Alligator mississippiensis: one gene and its partner. The protein of the gene in region 1 binds, or shares a complex with, the protein of each later gene. Links are inferred from orthologs where the notes say so. Each region holds a gene or a part of one and is shown on either strand. Other genes may lie near its edges.

Region 1 (7,613 bases):
CTGTTGAGCTAAAGGGGTTGCTGAGCCCTTTTACCACCTTTCCTATAGGTTGGGATGGACTTCCCTTGTGCTCCAATTAGAAAAAATACAAAATCTGGTGATTTTTTTTTGTCCTTTTCATTTTTTTTTTTTTTTTTTTGCCATCCCAGGGTCTTTATGTTCTTAAATTATTTTTATTTTTTTTACTTTTTTATGAATGTACTACCAAATGAATAGACTGATTTAAAGCAGGTATGATTTATTAATTTATGGATATTTATTTTTCACATTATGATATGTGATTTTATAGTGTTTTTAACAGTATATTGTCATTATTAAATTATCTGCCCTCCTCACCCCTAATTTCGCACTATCCTGAAAATTTAAATCAATAAAGATCTAAATAAATGCTTAAAAATAAACATCAATTTTAGTCATTGGAATTTTTTAAAAAATCCAATTCTACCAAGCCTAACTATATGCAAGTCATCAGCACATAATACTAGAGCTTATGGGTGTCATTTGGTTCTTCAGATGGGGGTGCAGGTATGTGGACTGTGAAGCAGGAGGAAAGGAACTCAAAAGGAGAAAGTCAACTGCTGGAGAAGGTAGGTGTTAAATGAGTGAACATTTCATAATGTTGATATTATATGAAGCCTAGCAACTTTATGCCTAATTAATGAGTATTTTTGTGTGGGTGTACAAATATTGGAATGGATCCAGTGACTTGGCTTTGCTAGAAACCCATGTTGTGGCAAACTCATCTCTAAATGGTTGTATAATGGTACAACTCAGTGGCAACACATAGGGGGTGCACAGGGGTGCATGTGCACCCCCGGAGAATGCTGGTGCACCCCCTGCCAGGCCATGCTCCCTGTTTAGGCGACCAGCAGCGGGGCAGGCAGGAGTGCCAGCGTCCTCCCTGCAAGTACCAGCTGGGGAGTGGGGCCACCAGCAAAAGTGGCCAAGCTGCTTCCAGACGTGGCTATGGGACTTCTGGAAGTGGTGTGGCTGCTTTTGGTAAGTGTGATTGGCCACAGGGACACCTCCCCCCTACCCCGGTCAGGGCACGTGGGCCCCCTGAGTCAAGAGGCACCAGTTGCCCATGGTACAACCTGCCGACAGTTCCAGCTTGGGAATGGTGCGAGCAGGGCTAGCATAAGACTCTTTGCCATTCTAGGCAAATGAAATTTTGCCACCTTGCCTTTTTGTTCTTGGAGGACCTGACATTAGGCAGCCCCTTCTGCATCATACAGAACCCCCCAGGTTTTTCCCAGTAGCTGCTGCACCTAGAAGTGTGGCATGTGGTGTGGCTGCCCTGTCCTTGAGCCTCAGGAAGCTAGGCATGGCCCCCATGCCACTGTGCCCCAACTCAAATGTAGCTTCAGTGGCAGCAGTGTCCCTTGGGAGCCTGCCCAGAGTCCCCCATGCACTAGCAGTGGTGCAGCACCTTGCCCCTCAGAACAGCCCTGTGGTACCATGGCATACAGGGTGCTGAGTGGCCAGGCCATGGCAGCATCTTGCCAGGCTGACCTGCTGGTTCTTGATTCTGTTTATGCTGTCCCTGTCTGGCACCTACCTGTGATAAAGCCTTCTCTGCTGCTGTGGTGGCATCATGCCAAGCCTGGGCCCAGCCAAATGCATGCTCTGTGTGCCCATCCAAAGAAATGTTTTTCCTTACTCCTACAATTTGCCTTCCTAGGTGGCCATCTGTGCTGCCTATATGGCTAGTTTGGCCCTGAGTGGAAGCCCTCTGCCAAGAGACCCACACAAATGTGTCTGCACACAAACAATTCTTTCATATTGAAGTATCAAAACATATGAAAAATGAACACAAAGATAAGTTTAGCTACTACAAAATACAACCTTATCAGAACTTGTATCTGTATTTTCAAGACCACCTCCATGTGAAAAAGTTCATTTTGGGGGGAGAGAGAGTGAAAGCATATGGTCTTGGAGAATATGGCATGCCAACAGAATTAAAATGACAGACTTTTATTTATCCAGGTGAGATAAAGGCAGGAAATGTCCATATGAGTTCATTTTCCTCTGGGCAATGGGCTTGCTGTTTCTAGGAAGACTTATTGTTTTTAGAGGTGAGAATTGATTTAGTTTCTCTCACAAGGTCCCACTGTGAGGGAAAAAATGATCATTTGCCAAATTTCCCAATCTCTCTCTCTTTTTTAAAAATTATTATTATAAGTTCATGTTCCATTAAAAATGCAGCACTTCCCATCTCTGGTCTTTCAAATGTCAGCTGCCTACTGTCTTCCTTGTTACAATATTTTACAAGTGACTAATAGCAAACATTAGCTCCCTCATGTCACATTTCCTACAGAAGGTTCAAAGTACTCTATGAAGAATGGGAACAGTAATTATCCCCCTTTTACAGACCAGGAAACAGAAGCCCCAAGGGATGAAGTAAGTTGCCCAAACTGGTTGAGCAAATCAAAAGTAGTCAGGAACAGAATCCATACCTCCCATTTGCTACAGGAGAATTGCAACAAAAGAATTGCTCTAGTATTTTCTTTGCAACAGAAGAAATGCTCTAGTATTTTTCTGTAGTAAAAAAAAACAGTTAAAAGAACTGGTATTTTTTGAGAGGGGCCTTGAGTCTAATGAGGGCTGCTTTGAATCTAAAAAGGTTGAGAACCTCTTCATTAGACAGTGCTGCCTCACTTTCAGTAGCTTATGGTATGGCCAAGCATGCAGTAGAAGGGAAAAAAGGAGGATTTGGGTGTAATAGGCACACACTGGACCTGCCTCTGTACTGAGGCATGGGTGGCCAGGTTACAACCAAGCCAGTCGGCCCCATGCTGACCAGAGGAGCCCCACTGAATGGCCCAGAGCCCAGGGGCAACAGGCCAAAAATAGGCTGGAAAATGGAGACAGGAGGAGCACCCGCTGGGAGACCAGAAACAGCTCTGGCTGCTCTCTCCTCCACTGGAGCACCCAGGGAAGAGCTGCACACTCCCCCCTGCTCGAGCACACAAGGAAGTGGCAGATGGCCCCACACTTTTAGGAAGATGTGGACAGATTGGAATCAGTCCAGCAGAAAAAAACAAAAATGATTAGAGGACTGGGAAGCATGACATACAAGGAAAGGCTTAAAGAGTTGGTTATTTAAGAGAAGAGAAGACTGGGGGCAGGGATGATTTGATAACAGTCTTCAAATAACTGAAGGGTGAACCTTAGGAGAATAAAGATTGACTTTTCTCTATGGCATAGAGGACAGGACTAGGAGTAATGGCCTTAAACTGAAGCAGAGGAAATTTAGGTTGGCGATTAGGAGGAACTTTCTGACTATGAGGGAGGTCAAGCATTGGAACAGGCTACTTAAATGAACTGTGTAATCTTCAGCCCTTGACATTTTCAAGAGTACGTTGAGACGTTACTTGATTGGGATGGTTTAGACAGGGATGATCCTGTCTTGACCAAGTGCCTGAACTAGATGACCTTGTGAGGTTGTTTTCAGTCCTACTTTGCTATGTTCCTATAGCAACACTTCCCATGACTGGTGCAGCTCAAATCATGAAAGATCAGAGCGTGTCATGAAGGCACAGTCCAGTGTTGGGTGTGATGTGGAGCTCCAAGGCTAAATAACTATTTAAAAAAAGCATCATCTAAAGCAGGGGTGGGCAAAATGTGGCCTGCAGGCCAGATGTGGCCCACCAGGCCATTCTATCCAGCCCACAGGACCCCTAAAAAATTTAGAAAATTAATATTAATGTGGCCCTCGATGGCTTGCCAAAACTCAGTAAGCGGCCATCCACCCAAAATAATTGCCCGCCCCTGATAAAGTAACTGGCAAAGAAAAGCCTTTTTAACAATTACTCAATATTTATTTATTGACAAAGTACCCCAGTGTTTCTGGTGTTTCAGACACAATATAATCATTTTAGTTATGAGGCTCAAACGCTTACTGCTGAACAACTTTCCTAAATGATCAGTCATAATGTTGCACTTAAGTCTATAATAGGAGTTTTGTGCCTGCCTCAATAGAAAACAAACTAGTAAATGTTTAAAAGAGGAAAACCACCAATTATTCCATAGCAGCACACTATCTTAAATCCCCAATTTTATTATTTTGCTGGACGAGGAGTCTGAAGTATGCATAATAGATCACATAAATACAAAACATAAAGAATGACTGAAAGCAATTACATTATTGAACACAAAATTTTAATTTGTCACTGTTTTGCACATGTACCATAAAAATAAAGTAGTCCAAAACAGCACATATAAGGAGGCTTTATCTGATTCCAGTTACCACAAGGCACCCAAATATCACAAGAAAAAACAAAATTATAATACTGTATAATATACTTATTGTACTGTGTTGGTTATTCAGTATTTACTTTATGCAGTATATCTTTATTTTAACCCCTTGTATTTTTTGCAGGTTTTCCAGTACCAAATTTAAACCTAGTTTTGTTTTAAAGCATGTGGACTGTAAAACTGTGTAAGTACTGGAACTTCAAATGAAGTGTTAGGTGACTACTCCCATTCACAAATCAGATGCACGCTGCATTTTTAAGGGTGGATATTTGTTGCAATGAATCAATTAAAACCTTTTCTGACACGTTAAATGTGTGTTCCTAGACCTGTTTCACAGGTTTCGCAGAAGGGAAAATAACAACATGTGACAGCACCTAGGAGCCAAATGTACAAGAGAAGATCAGAGGTTTGCATGAGTGAGCTTGGCTTTCCAAAATACTTTTTGAAACACTATTAAAGGGACTGTAGAAATATCCAGCACAGAGCACCATGGTGGAGCAAGAGATTTTGCAATCGTGTAGTTATCCTCCAGAAAAATGTAAGTGTGAAAAATTTGATTTTTGATAAGAAATGGAGAAAATGAAAGAAAAAAATTTAGCTATTGTAGTTGTAAAAGTATGGGAAGTAGTAAAGAAGTCTTCAAATGAATAAATGTAGAAGCAATTAGCTTTACCTTTATGAACTTGTAAGCTTGATGGGCAAAAGAGAAGCGTTTTTACCTGAAGGACTCTTCTATGAAGCATTTTGAAAGTTTTTAAATGTAAAACTTGCTGCTTTTATTTGCAAACTTTATTCATGCTATTAACTGCTTCAGTATTGGAGACATGAACAGTGAGTTTTTGTTACCTTGAAATAACTTGCATAATAGACTGAAGCGCTGGGAAAGCATTTTCTAGCAAGACAGGGCATGAAAAATACAATATGCAGAGACTTTTTTCTTAAGTTGTCAGGAAGCTTTCTATCCCTTTGTCCAAATATCAGCTGAGGGTTATCAGCACTGTCTTAAATTCAGGCAGGAAACAGAAGTGAACTGTCACTGAGCTTCACTGCCAATTTAATATTTATTTTAATACAGGAAAATGAAACAGTAAATGAATAAAATATCGCTTTTTTTTCTTGTTTTTGGAGGAGGAAACATATGGGGGGGCTGTCGGTTTTTGTTTTGTTTCGTTTTCTCGTTGGTGGTGGCAGTGTTATTAAGGAGTTATCTATCCATTTTTGGACAAAGGCAAATATAATTTTAAGTACTGTTGACTAAAAATGTAGCAGAAAACCAAAAATTTAGGAAACTAATTACTAATGGGTATGGATTGAATAAGTCTAAAATGGAGCTGTTTAAGCAAAATCATAAAGAAGGGTAGAATTTGGAACTGATATGCCCGTAAACCTCTTGGATGCCCTGCCAAAGTGAAGCTTCAAAGTCAAGGCAGTTCCCTCCTCCTGAATATAGTGCTTTCTAGCTTTTAAGTGACTTGGCTTCTTTGTTTTGGCAACATAAGATTTGATAACATGTTATCGCCTCAGATTTGCTTCTAATAAAAGGACTGGTTTTCATCTGAAAATGAAGATGTAGTTTGCTAAATGTTCTACAGGGTTTTCCAGATACATGGAAGAATTTTTTTTGAGTGATTAACAAGATAACAGAGCCTCATCTCCATGAAAACACTGAATCTCCAGGAGTGGAAATTTATTGTCTATTTTGTCCTCTTTATATTCTGTACACTCCTCCTTTTACATGAAGGAGAACACAAGCTTGAAGAGAAGAGGGCAGCTTTTTTTCTTTCTCCCACTGTTTATTTCCTACCTGAGAGCATGCTTGTGGTGTGGTTCCCCTGAAAGAACCATGCCAGTGAGCTGAAAAAATAAAAACCCACTCCCTCCTCATACATATGACTGATGGTTATAGAGGTCTTGATGGAAAAGACATAGCATCAGACCTTCAGTTCTTCAGCACCGATCAGTACAAATGGGCTGTAAAATTGGATTCCTGAAAATTATCTCTGAATATCAAAGGATCAAGCTGTTCCCCATATTCCTACCCCCTGTATAGGAGTGGGGGCTGTTGCAAGGGAAGTATGATCAAAACACAGCTACCCCCAGCTGCCAGAACAGCTTCCTCAGAGCAGCAGGGAGCAACTTAGCACTTAATACCTGGGGTGCTCTGAAATGTTCTATGGGATCAAACCACTTCTGGCTGCTTTCTCGGAGGCCTCAAGAGTGGGGAGTTACAAGGGTAGCATTAATCCTCCTTTGCTGTCCAGATTGGTTCTGCACTGGGCCTTGCTTGCTTGGCAGAGGAACAATACCCTAGGAGGATTTTGATGTCAAATGACTGCAATGGACATTTTCTAAAATTCTTAAAGGATGCCAAGAATTGTGGTATTTGTGGCTATGGAACGGTAATGCTTTGTTTTGTCTGCAAAGTGCTCTTTTTCTATTCCAGTGAAATCTGTGTGCAGAAGCAAACAGTTGTTTTATTTTCAGATTTGTTGCAGTCTGTGTGACAGAAATGAAGTATACATAGTGCTTGTTTGTGGTGAGCTTAATTGTGTTCTCAATCTAAAATAACAGCAATATTGGATTGAAATCATACAACTGCTTTTTATGGACTATATAAGGTCAATGAAACTATTAAATTATTCCTCTGCACATAGTTTGTAGAACTTGGTGGTGTGTGTGGGTGAATGGGTAGGTGGGTGCATCTAGACATGCTATTAGTGAGATGCAATAAACTCTGGTGCACTTTGCACCACTCATGTGCTTTAAGGCACAGCATTTACATGTGCACCTGGAACCACAGAAGTCTCAGCCAGGGTGGAGCAGCCACAGACTGGCAGAAAGTCCTGGGGGTATGCCCCAGGCTCAGGGTGGTGGCAGAGGGCAGCAAAGTGGCCGGCTGGGGCACAAGGGTGCTATAGCGTGGGGCTAGCCTGGAAGCAGCCCCCACACTTTAGCACCCTTGTGTCCTAACTAGCCCATGTCACAGCCTACACATGTTCAATCACATGCAAATACTCTGCCCTAAGATAGTACTGTCCCTGACAGACTATGGCGGAGTTAATTCCTGTGCCTTAATACCAGTGCATGTATAGACTGTGACACTTTAGTGTGGACCTAATTAATCTACTCCACAGTAAAGCTCACATGTAGAAGCACCCAGTGTGTGTGTGTTTTCTGTCTCAGTTTTGACACCAAACTGAATCAGTACTTCATATGAGAAAGAGCTTATTGCAACTTGCTGTGTAGAATCAGCAGCAGATTGATAGAAGACTCTTTTTAGCAAGGCTTTGTGAAAGGGAGTGAACTTAATACAGGAATGAAGGCTTGTATTCAGCACAGTGAAGAAAATCAGGTCT
Region 2 (7,388 bases), on another chromosome or scaffold:
TTTTAATGCCATGCATGTGAATTACAAGGTTTCAATATTGCAAATGACTAGCTTCCCTTGCCAGCCCTTGGTTTATAAAATCTGTTCCTCTCAAGTAACAAGCACGATCCGATCTCCACAATTTTAAGAAACGTTTCTCTCAACACACTGTCCCCCTTTTCACTTCTAAACTCACGGAATGTATGGCTATTACCTTGAGCCTCTTTCAGCTCTAATACCCTTGTAGTCTGCCTGTCCCCTTGTGTTCCTTGTAAACTGCTTTTAGTCAAGTCTCCAATAATCTCTTCCTAGCTAAAATCCAACATTTGTAATTTATGACTTGCCCTGATTTTTGTGCCTGTTGATCATATTTACCTAGAAATTAAAATGTCCTTTCCTGCTTCTGATTTCTCTGATCATGCTTTCAACACCTTTATTGATGGGTCTTCCTCTTCCACAAAATTATATCTTCTCAATTATATACCTCCCCAAATGGAATCTAATTCATTCACACACAGTACTGGGCAGGAAATACTTTTCCAGTCCAACAAAAGGTTTTGTTATTTCAATAGCTTTCCCATTCCATACTGGAATGAGAGAAAGATATGAATAGACAACAGTACAGTGGAAAGCGAGAGAGGGAGTATAGGCAACAGCACTGTGGAAAGAGCTCTCCCCGGGAATGTGAAAGCCTTAGATTCAAGTCCCAGCTGCTGGAGACCCCGCTGGTCTCCCATGTCCGGAATGAATACCCCAGCCACAGCACTACAGAGTCAGTCTCTCCATGTGTCCTGTAAGAGCTCTTTCATTTTGTAAATATTATTCATTATGCCAGAGGCTCAGATTCTAGTGGCCAGAGTATCATACCAAAGCCAAGGAACATGCCAAAGCCAACATCCTGCTCTAATGAACTTTTAACTAATTAAACATTCACTGAAGCAAGGGCATGACGCTTCATTTGACATATCCCAGGTTGGTGGCCTGAGCACTGGGCTGCAGTATATCTTTCTGGCAAAATGAACAGTATTTATGCAGTCAGTCAGTCTCTCCCTCCCTCCCACCCCCCAAGACAGACAGCAAATAATATTTACATACAGAGGAAAAGCTCCAATGAGGGAAGTTACAGGATCCACCAAAAACAGAACAGACAATAACCTGACAGTTGGGACCTCTTATGTGGGATGTAGAAGACCATGGTTCAAGTTTCTGGTCTCTCTCCCACTCTCTGTTTTCTTGTTAAAAAACCAAAATGAAAACCATTATGGACTTGAGAAACCCATTCCAAGCAGCGTCTGGTGTATTCCCACAAAACGTTTTAGTTAGACTGGTCAGCATTTTCAGACAAAACAAGTATGTTGTTGTAAAATTGCTAAGTAGCTCCATGTAATAGCATATCTACCTTAGCCAACTAATTCTGCTGTGGAAGCAGCAGACCAGGCAGTGTATGTTGTAGTGCAAGCTACAGCCTTGAGGGGATTTACTAGCGACCGAACTCACATTTTCATGCTTCATGTGTTTCAGAAGGCGCAGTTCCCGGTAGGCTCGCTTGGCAAAGAGTTCAGACTGAAATGGGCGATACAGTTTCTTGATAGCCACTTTGGTGCCATTTCTTCCATCAATAGCGGAGCTTAAAGGGAACACAAAGAGTTTGTGAGTGAGGTCCTGAGTAATATTGAAAGACTCATCAGCTGAACAAACTGAACAGCTGAACAAACTGAACAGTGGATGAGAAGTCAGAGAGTCCTGGTACGGACCATCTGCTTGGCCCTGCCACTACTTTTCTACTGGACAGAGGAAAAGCCACATACCCTCTTCGCTGTAACGTACTGCACTATAAAATAGAGATCACGAGCTAATTCCCCCCAGAGAACCTCATCAGCAGGATGTTAAGTCTATGTGCACTAACTGTAAAGGATCACCAGGTGAACATAGAGAGGCCAATATCAAAAGTTGTGAAAGGCTACACCTGGGAAAGAGAAACAGGGACACATCCAAATTCCACTAGGCTGCATCCAACTAAGCGAGACTTTCTGGTAGAGAAAGAGAGGAACAACTGAATAATTATCTCCTAAAAAAAGATCATCCATCCTAGCCAGGTAAGATGTGGCATAAAGCAGCTGCGCAGAATTGCAGGGTTGGAAGGGCCTTCCTGATAGCATGGCTATCTAGCCACAGGGCCACCAGCCAGGCCTCACTACCACAAAGACACGCCCTGAGAAGTTACAAGAGAAAAGAGGGTTTTGCACAAAACTCAGCCCCAGAGCAGGGCAGAGGAGCAGAGCTGCGGGGCGCCAGCAAGGAAGGGGCTGAGCGGCCGCCGGCTGCCTCAGGAAACAGCTCTTGGACGGGGTCTAGAGCTGCAGGTCCCGGTTTCCCCCTCGGGAAACGCCCGCTCTCGTCTGCACTCGGGTTTTTCCCCGCGGGACGGCTCTTACAAAGTGCTGCAGGCACGAAGCGGCCGCGGGGACTCCTCGGGGTCTGAGCCGGGAGTGGCGCTTGCGGCCCCGCGGGCGGCAGGGAGGGAACAAAGCGAGGGAAGCCGCTCACCACACGGCGCCGTAGGCTCCGGCCCCCACGGGCTGCAGGTCCCGGTAGCGCTCCCGCACCTCCCACAGCGTCTTGGTGAGCTCCTGGCGGTAGAAACCCCTCTTGGGGGAGCTCATGGTGCGCGGCCCCCGCCCGCCAACAAAGAGCCCCGCGGCCGGGCTGCTGCGAGGGGCTGGGCTTGGACACGTCCCTCCGCGAGCGGGGACTGGATGTGGCTCCGGCGCCTCTTTCCCCTCCTCCTTCCTGCCCCTGCTCGCCATTCACTCCGCGAGGAGGGAGGTGCTCGCGGAGGCCCTAGCTGCAGCGGGAGGCTCCCCCTCGTGCCAGACCTCGCTGCCCGCCCCGGCGGCTCCTCCCCGAGCGCCCCGCCGCCGCCGCCGCCCGGTCTCGGGGCGCCAACACCTCGTGCCCCGCGGGGCCACCTCCAGGCGGACCCTGGGCAAGTGCTAACGCTTGGCTTTGGGCTGCACGAGAAGAGCAGAGCAGCTGCCGGGTGTGGGAGAGAGCTCCGGGCTGCTCTGCCCGTGGCACCCTGCCTGAGCCCCCCTCTGCTCACTTAACAGGACCCAGCTGTGCTGGGGCACCAAAGCAAAGCAAGCAGGCTGGCACCCAGCCAGGGGTAGGCAAGAAGACTGCTACTCCTCCCAGCAGGACGCAGGGCTCAGCCAGTCCTACTGTTCGGGGGGGTGTCTACATGTGCATTAGTTAATGCGGATTAAATCTTGTACCTTTGGGCACTTACGCACATGTGGCAAGTCTGCTGGAAATCCAGCATGTTGGAGCAGGCTTGATTAATCAAGTCTGCTGGAGCACATAAATTGACATGCCTAGTGCTACTAGGGTTGCCAACACTAACTAAAGCTATTCCAGGAGATTATTTTCCCCCAATATAATGTAATGTCATTAATTGTACTGTCCATCCCATTCACAGTATCAGTCTCCCAGATTGCTTTCAATAGTCACCGGGAGATTGATGCCGATTCTGGTAGACTCCAGGCCAATCTGGGAGGGTTGGCAACCCTAGGCACTATGCCAGGTCCAGGTGCATCATTGTTTTTTAGTGATACATTAAGGCACATTAAAATAGGCTAATGCACATTAAAGTGCATGTGTAGATGCACCCATAGTGCCCATATGCAGTTTGCCCCAGGATAGATAAACAGTGCTTGGAGGAAAGTACTCAAAATGAGATAGTCTTGCAGTAAAGTCCAGTGTGTTTGTTAGTTCCAGGTTTTTTTCTGAATTAGTTCTGTGACAGGAAAAGAAAATCCACTTGAAAGCAAATGTATATGGGGAATGGGGGGACCCGGGGCAGTTTGGATTTTTCTTTTACCTGCCAGGTTTGATATGGGTCTGAAGATACTTGCAGAATAGGAGAGACGTTGTTATTATTACCATTACATTCCAAAAGTAAATAAAGGCTTTTCTCAAACTCACTCAAAGTATGAAAAAAGAATTGAAAACATTCCCTGCTTCAAGAAGCCTGTAGTCTCAAAAGATAATACAGATAAACATATAAGCAAGTTTATAGTGAGAAAACTATTTCAAGTTGTAAGTTACAATAAGCACATCTTCCCTCTTTTCTGTCACATTCAAGCCTTTACCTGCACCTCTCGTGGTCCTTTTCTAGTTCTATTCAAACTCTTTGCTCATTTCCCTGTCACTACCCCCATTTTCCTGCTTCTTCATACCAACTCCACAAATGATGTATGTGGCTGCCCACATAATTTTTCACGTCACTGATTAGCATCTCTCCCCATTCTGTATCAGCAGAATGGAAGCTGAACACGGATTATTTTTCAGGCAGAGGAGAACTGATATAGGAGAGGAATAGATCATGGGATGCCACTACAATTGAGAGAGGCAATTATCTGCATCTAGAAGTGACAAATACTTCCAGCTACCTTCTCCTGATAAGTTCTAGTGGTATCTTCCTCTTGATATCCGCTGGCTATTTTTTTCATTTGTTTTCTTCTTCCTCTTTTGCTTCCATCTATTTTACCCTTACCTCTTTTTTCTTATTCCTCCTTGCCTTTCCTTTCTCCACTTACTTCTTTTGCTATCATTCTTAGAAGCTCTTGTAAACTCCTGCTTATTATTACATACTATTCATACTATAATTGCACCACACAATACAAAAGTTACTTGCTGTTTATCTACCTTGGAGCAAACTGCAGGTGCATCTACACATGTACTTTAATGCCCATTAGCCTATTTTAATGAGTATTAATGCATTACTAAAAAAGTGCTATTTACTTAAAGCACATTAAAATAGGCTAAAGTGCATATGCTTACACCTGTTACCTTTGCTATTCAACCTTATCCTAGTATCGGATTCAAAATTACCATCGTATTTATTATATTTAAAAGATCAACTCCTCTACACTTGACTTACACAGTCACTCAAGGCAAGGAGGCCAATGCATTACAGGTTCAAGAGGAAAACATGCAAGCTTAGAACAATTTCAGTGCAGGTATATGGAGCTTAACAACATCAACAGTATTTCTTCAGTAAGTATGTCAGGCACATGATATGTACAGCAAACACATACTTTAAAAAAATTTCTGTGCGACTACAACTAGCATTCTTTTTCTTTGGTATCTAGTGAAGCCTTTCTTTTGTCTGATTTCACTCCTAAACAATGTTGCTGAGGTTAGATAATTCAGGCTTGCTGTCACTGGATTCAATTTGTAGCTTAGCTAGAAGGGGGTAATCAACTTCTGCCTGTGGCCAAGTTTCATTGTCTCTGTTGCCTTTTTGGTAGTTCCCATGGACTTTGTCCCTTTTAGTTGTAAATAGTAAATTTGGAAAAGCAGCCCCACCCTCTCCTTGTCATGATGTAGACATCAGAGCTAGGAGAAAAAACAGGCTTTCTAAGTTGCTTGGGGAGAGGCCCTGCAAAATCACCAGCACCCACAGTTTTGATATTTTTTCACAACACATGCATTTTCCATGGTGGTTCTGTACTGAGAGCTGTCCCACTTACCTTGAAGTTTTAGTAATCATGGAAACTACAGACCTTTGTACACTTGGCAGGTACTGTAATGCAATGAGTGTGTTGAGTATTAGATTAACGATATTGATCTAATTAAAAATCAGGACCCCAATAGGATTTCTGTTTTCAAATTATAATATTATAGATGTTGGAAATACTTTTATCCATGTTATACAGTGTCCTTCATCCAAATGATGCGCTGGGTACAGTGAAGTCTGTTGTGGTATGGGGAGGGCTCAGTAATCAATTTTCAGCCAATGTATTATTTATTCAAAGGGTACCTAACATGCAATATATGTTTTTGTTTTCCAGTGTAAATGGACTTCACCACTGTACATTCTAACACTCAGTTGTCCTTTCCCTGGGAAACAGAGGCCATTAGCAACTTTTTTGCAGGGAAGAAAATGGTTGACTTTGATACTGTAGGACTAAGACACTGAATCTGACACAAGACAACATTGACATTTGTCAGAAACTCAGAGTATTTAGAATAACTACACACTCTGACTAACACCTTCCAAAATATCTAAGACTACTTTTTGGCTTGTCTCCTTAACATTATTACTACATGTGGACTAGATGAACAGAGATCCATTATGTGCACCTCTTCCAGGTTCTACTGTCAAACTGTAGCATTTCTAGTCAACAATATCCAGCCACTGGTGAATGTAATTGTATCAGTGTGGATGCCTGGCAATTTTTGGTTGAAAGGAAATCACAAAGGAAATCACCACAAGAACTAATATTATTGCTATCCCCTCCCCTCAACACAAACCTGACTGCCTGGGGTTCAAAACTGAATGTAATCAAATGCTGCTTGGGTTGACAGGTTATTATTTTATAGTCTATATCACAGAAATACCTTGGAATTTAGGAATCAGGGCATTACTGTGCTACGTACGGGGCAACCATGAAGCAAAAATACACTCTATATTCCTTAAATTTATGATTTTGGTTGTATAATAAGACAACACAAACATGTATGAGGAAGGTGGAGAATGATGTAACCAACATTAAATGATAAGGTTTGTCTGGTATTTAACACATGTAGTTTGAAAGGCTCTAAAGATGGTCCTAAACACCAAGGCCTCTTAAATTTTGGCATTTCCATCTCTAGAAGCTAATATAGCACCAGGCAAACATCATCACCTTTTCAAAGCCCTTGCCCATAAAGGGCAGGTTTGCAGGAAAGCAATTGGCAAGGCTGTTGTTGTAAAGAAATGCAGAGATAGACTGGGGCATGGATGTGGGATAAGTATACTTGCCCTTGTAATCTCTTCCATGGTTAATAATCCACTAGGCCCATAAGGCTATTTTAGCTGAAGGGAAGACTCATCCTGGGCCTTAAAGAAAAGTAGATTAGACTTCTTTTCACTGTTGTTCCCCTGGGTTCTGCAGACTGTGGATAACCATGAATCAGGCCCCACCAACACAGGCTGCCCAGGCAAGGTGCAAACTGGTGCTTTCCCAGTCAGCATTGCTCCCGGATTCCTTGGACAATCCTGTCTAGTTTGCATTCTGACCCAGGGATTTTGAAGACGAGTGAGAAAAGTGCATAGTGGGACAATTGCATATGGTCTTGAAAACCTTCTCCATATAATTGGTTCCATACATAGCATTGAAAAGCTGATTTAGGCTCACTACAAAGTCTCATCTTTGCTGTTTAAAGAATAGACCACATATTTTTCAGAAAGTCAGAACAAATTAAAATTAATTTGATATTTATTGTCAAGGCAGTTCTATGCTTTAAGTGATCACACTATTAATGTTGTATTTACAGCAGGGGAACCCGAAGTGTTGTTCATAGAGGACCACTTAATGTTGGGTGCTGCATAACAAAAGGTGCAGACAGCTTGAAAGGCTCTG

Evidence for each region.
Region 2: the proteins of PTPN3 (region 1) and MAPK12 are in contact, whole or in part, in a crystal structure (PDB 4QUM), measured with the Homo sapiens proteins. The link is inferred for Alligator mississippiensis from reciprocal best matches to the Homo sapiens genes PTPN3 and MAPK12. Residues at the interface, in NP_002820.3 of Homo sapiens: Arg655, Leu671, Asn674, Arg675, Tyr676, Lys677, Asp678, Val679, Arg751, His812, Ser843, Ala844, Gly845, Ile846, Gly847, Arg848, Met883, Gln886, Thr887; in NP_002960.2 of Homo sapiens: Met182, Thr183, Gly184, Tyr185, Val186, Val187, Arg189.

What each region holds. Positions count from the first base shown.
Region 1 is NC_081828.1:77,596,255-77,603,867, reverse strand, and holds the start of PTPN3 (tyrosine-protein phosphatase non-receptor type 3), read left to right. Parts: upstream 1-4,610; 5' UTR 4,611-4,746; coding exon 4,747-4,795; intron 4,796-7,613.
Region 2 is NC_081827.1:40,034,195-40,041,582, forward strand, and holds the start of MAPK12 (mitogen-activated protein kinase 12), read right to left. Parts: upstream 3,012-7,388; 5' UTR 2,787-3,011; coding exon 2,527-2,786; intron 1,607-2,526; coding exon 1,477-1,606; intron 1-1,476. UniProt on the Homo sapiens protein: Serine/threonine kinase which acts as an essential component of the MAP kinase signal transduction pathway.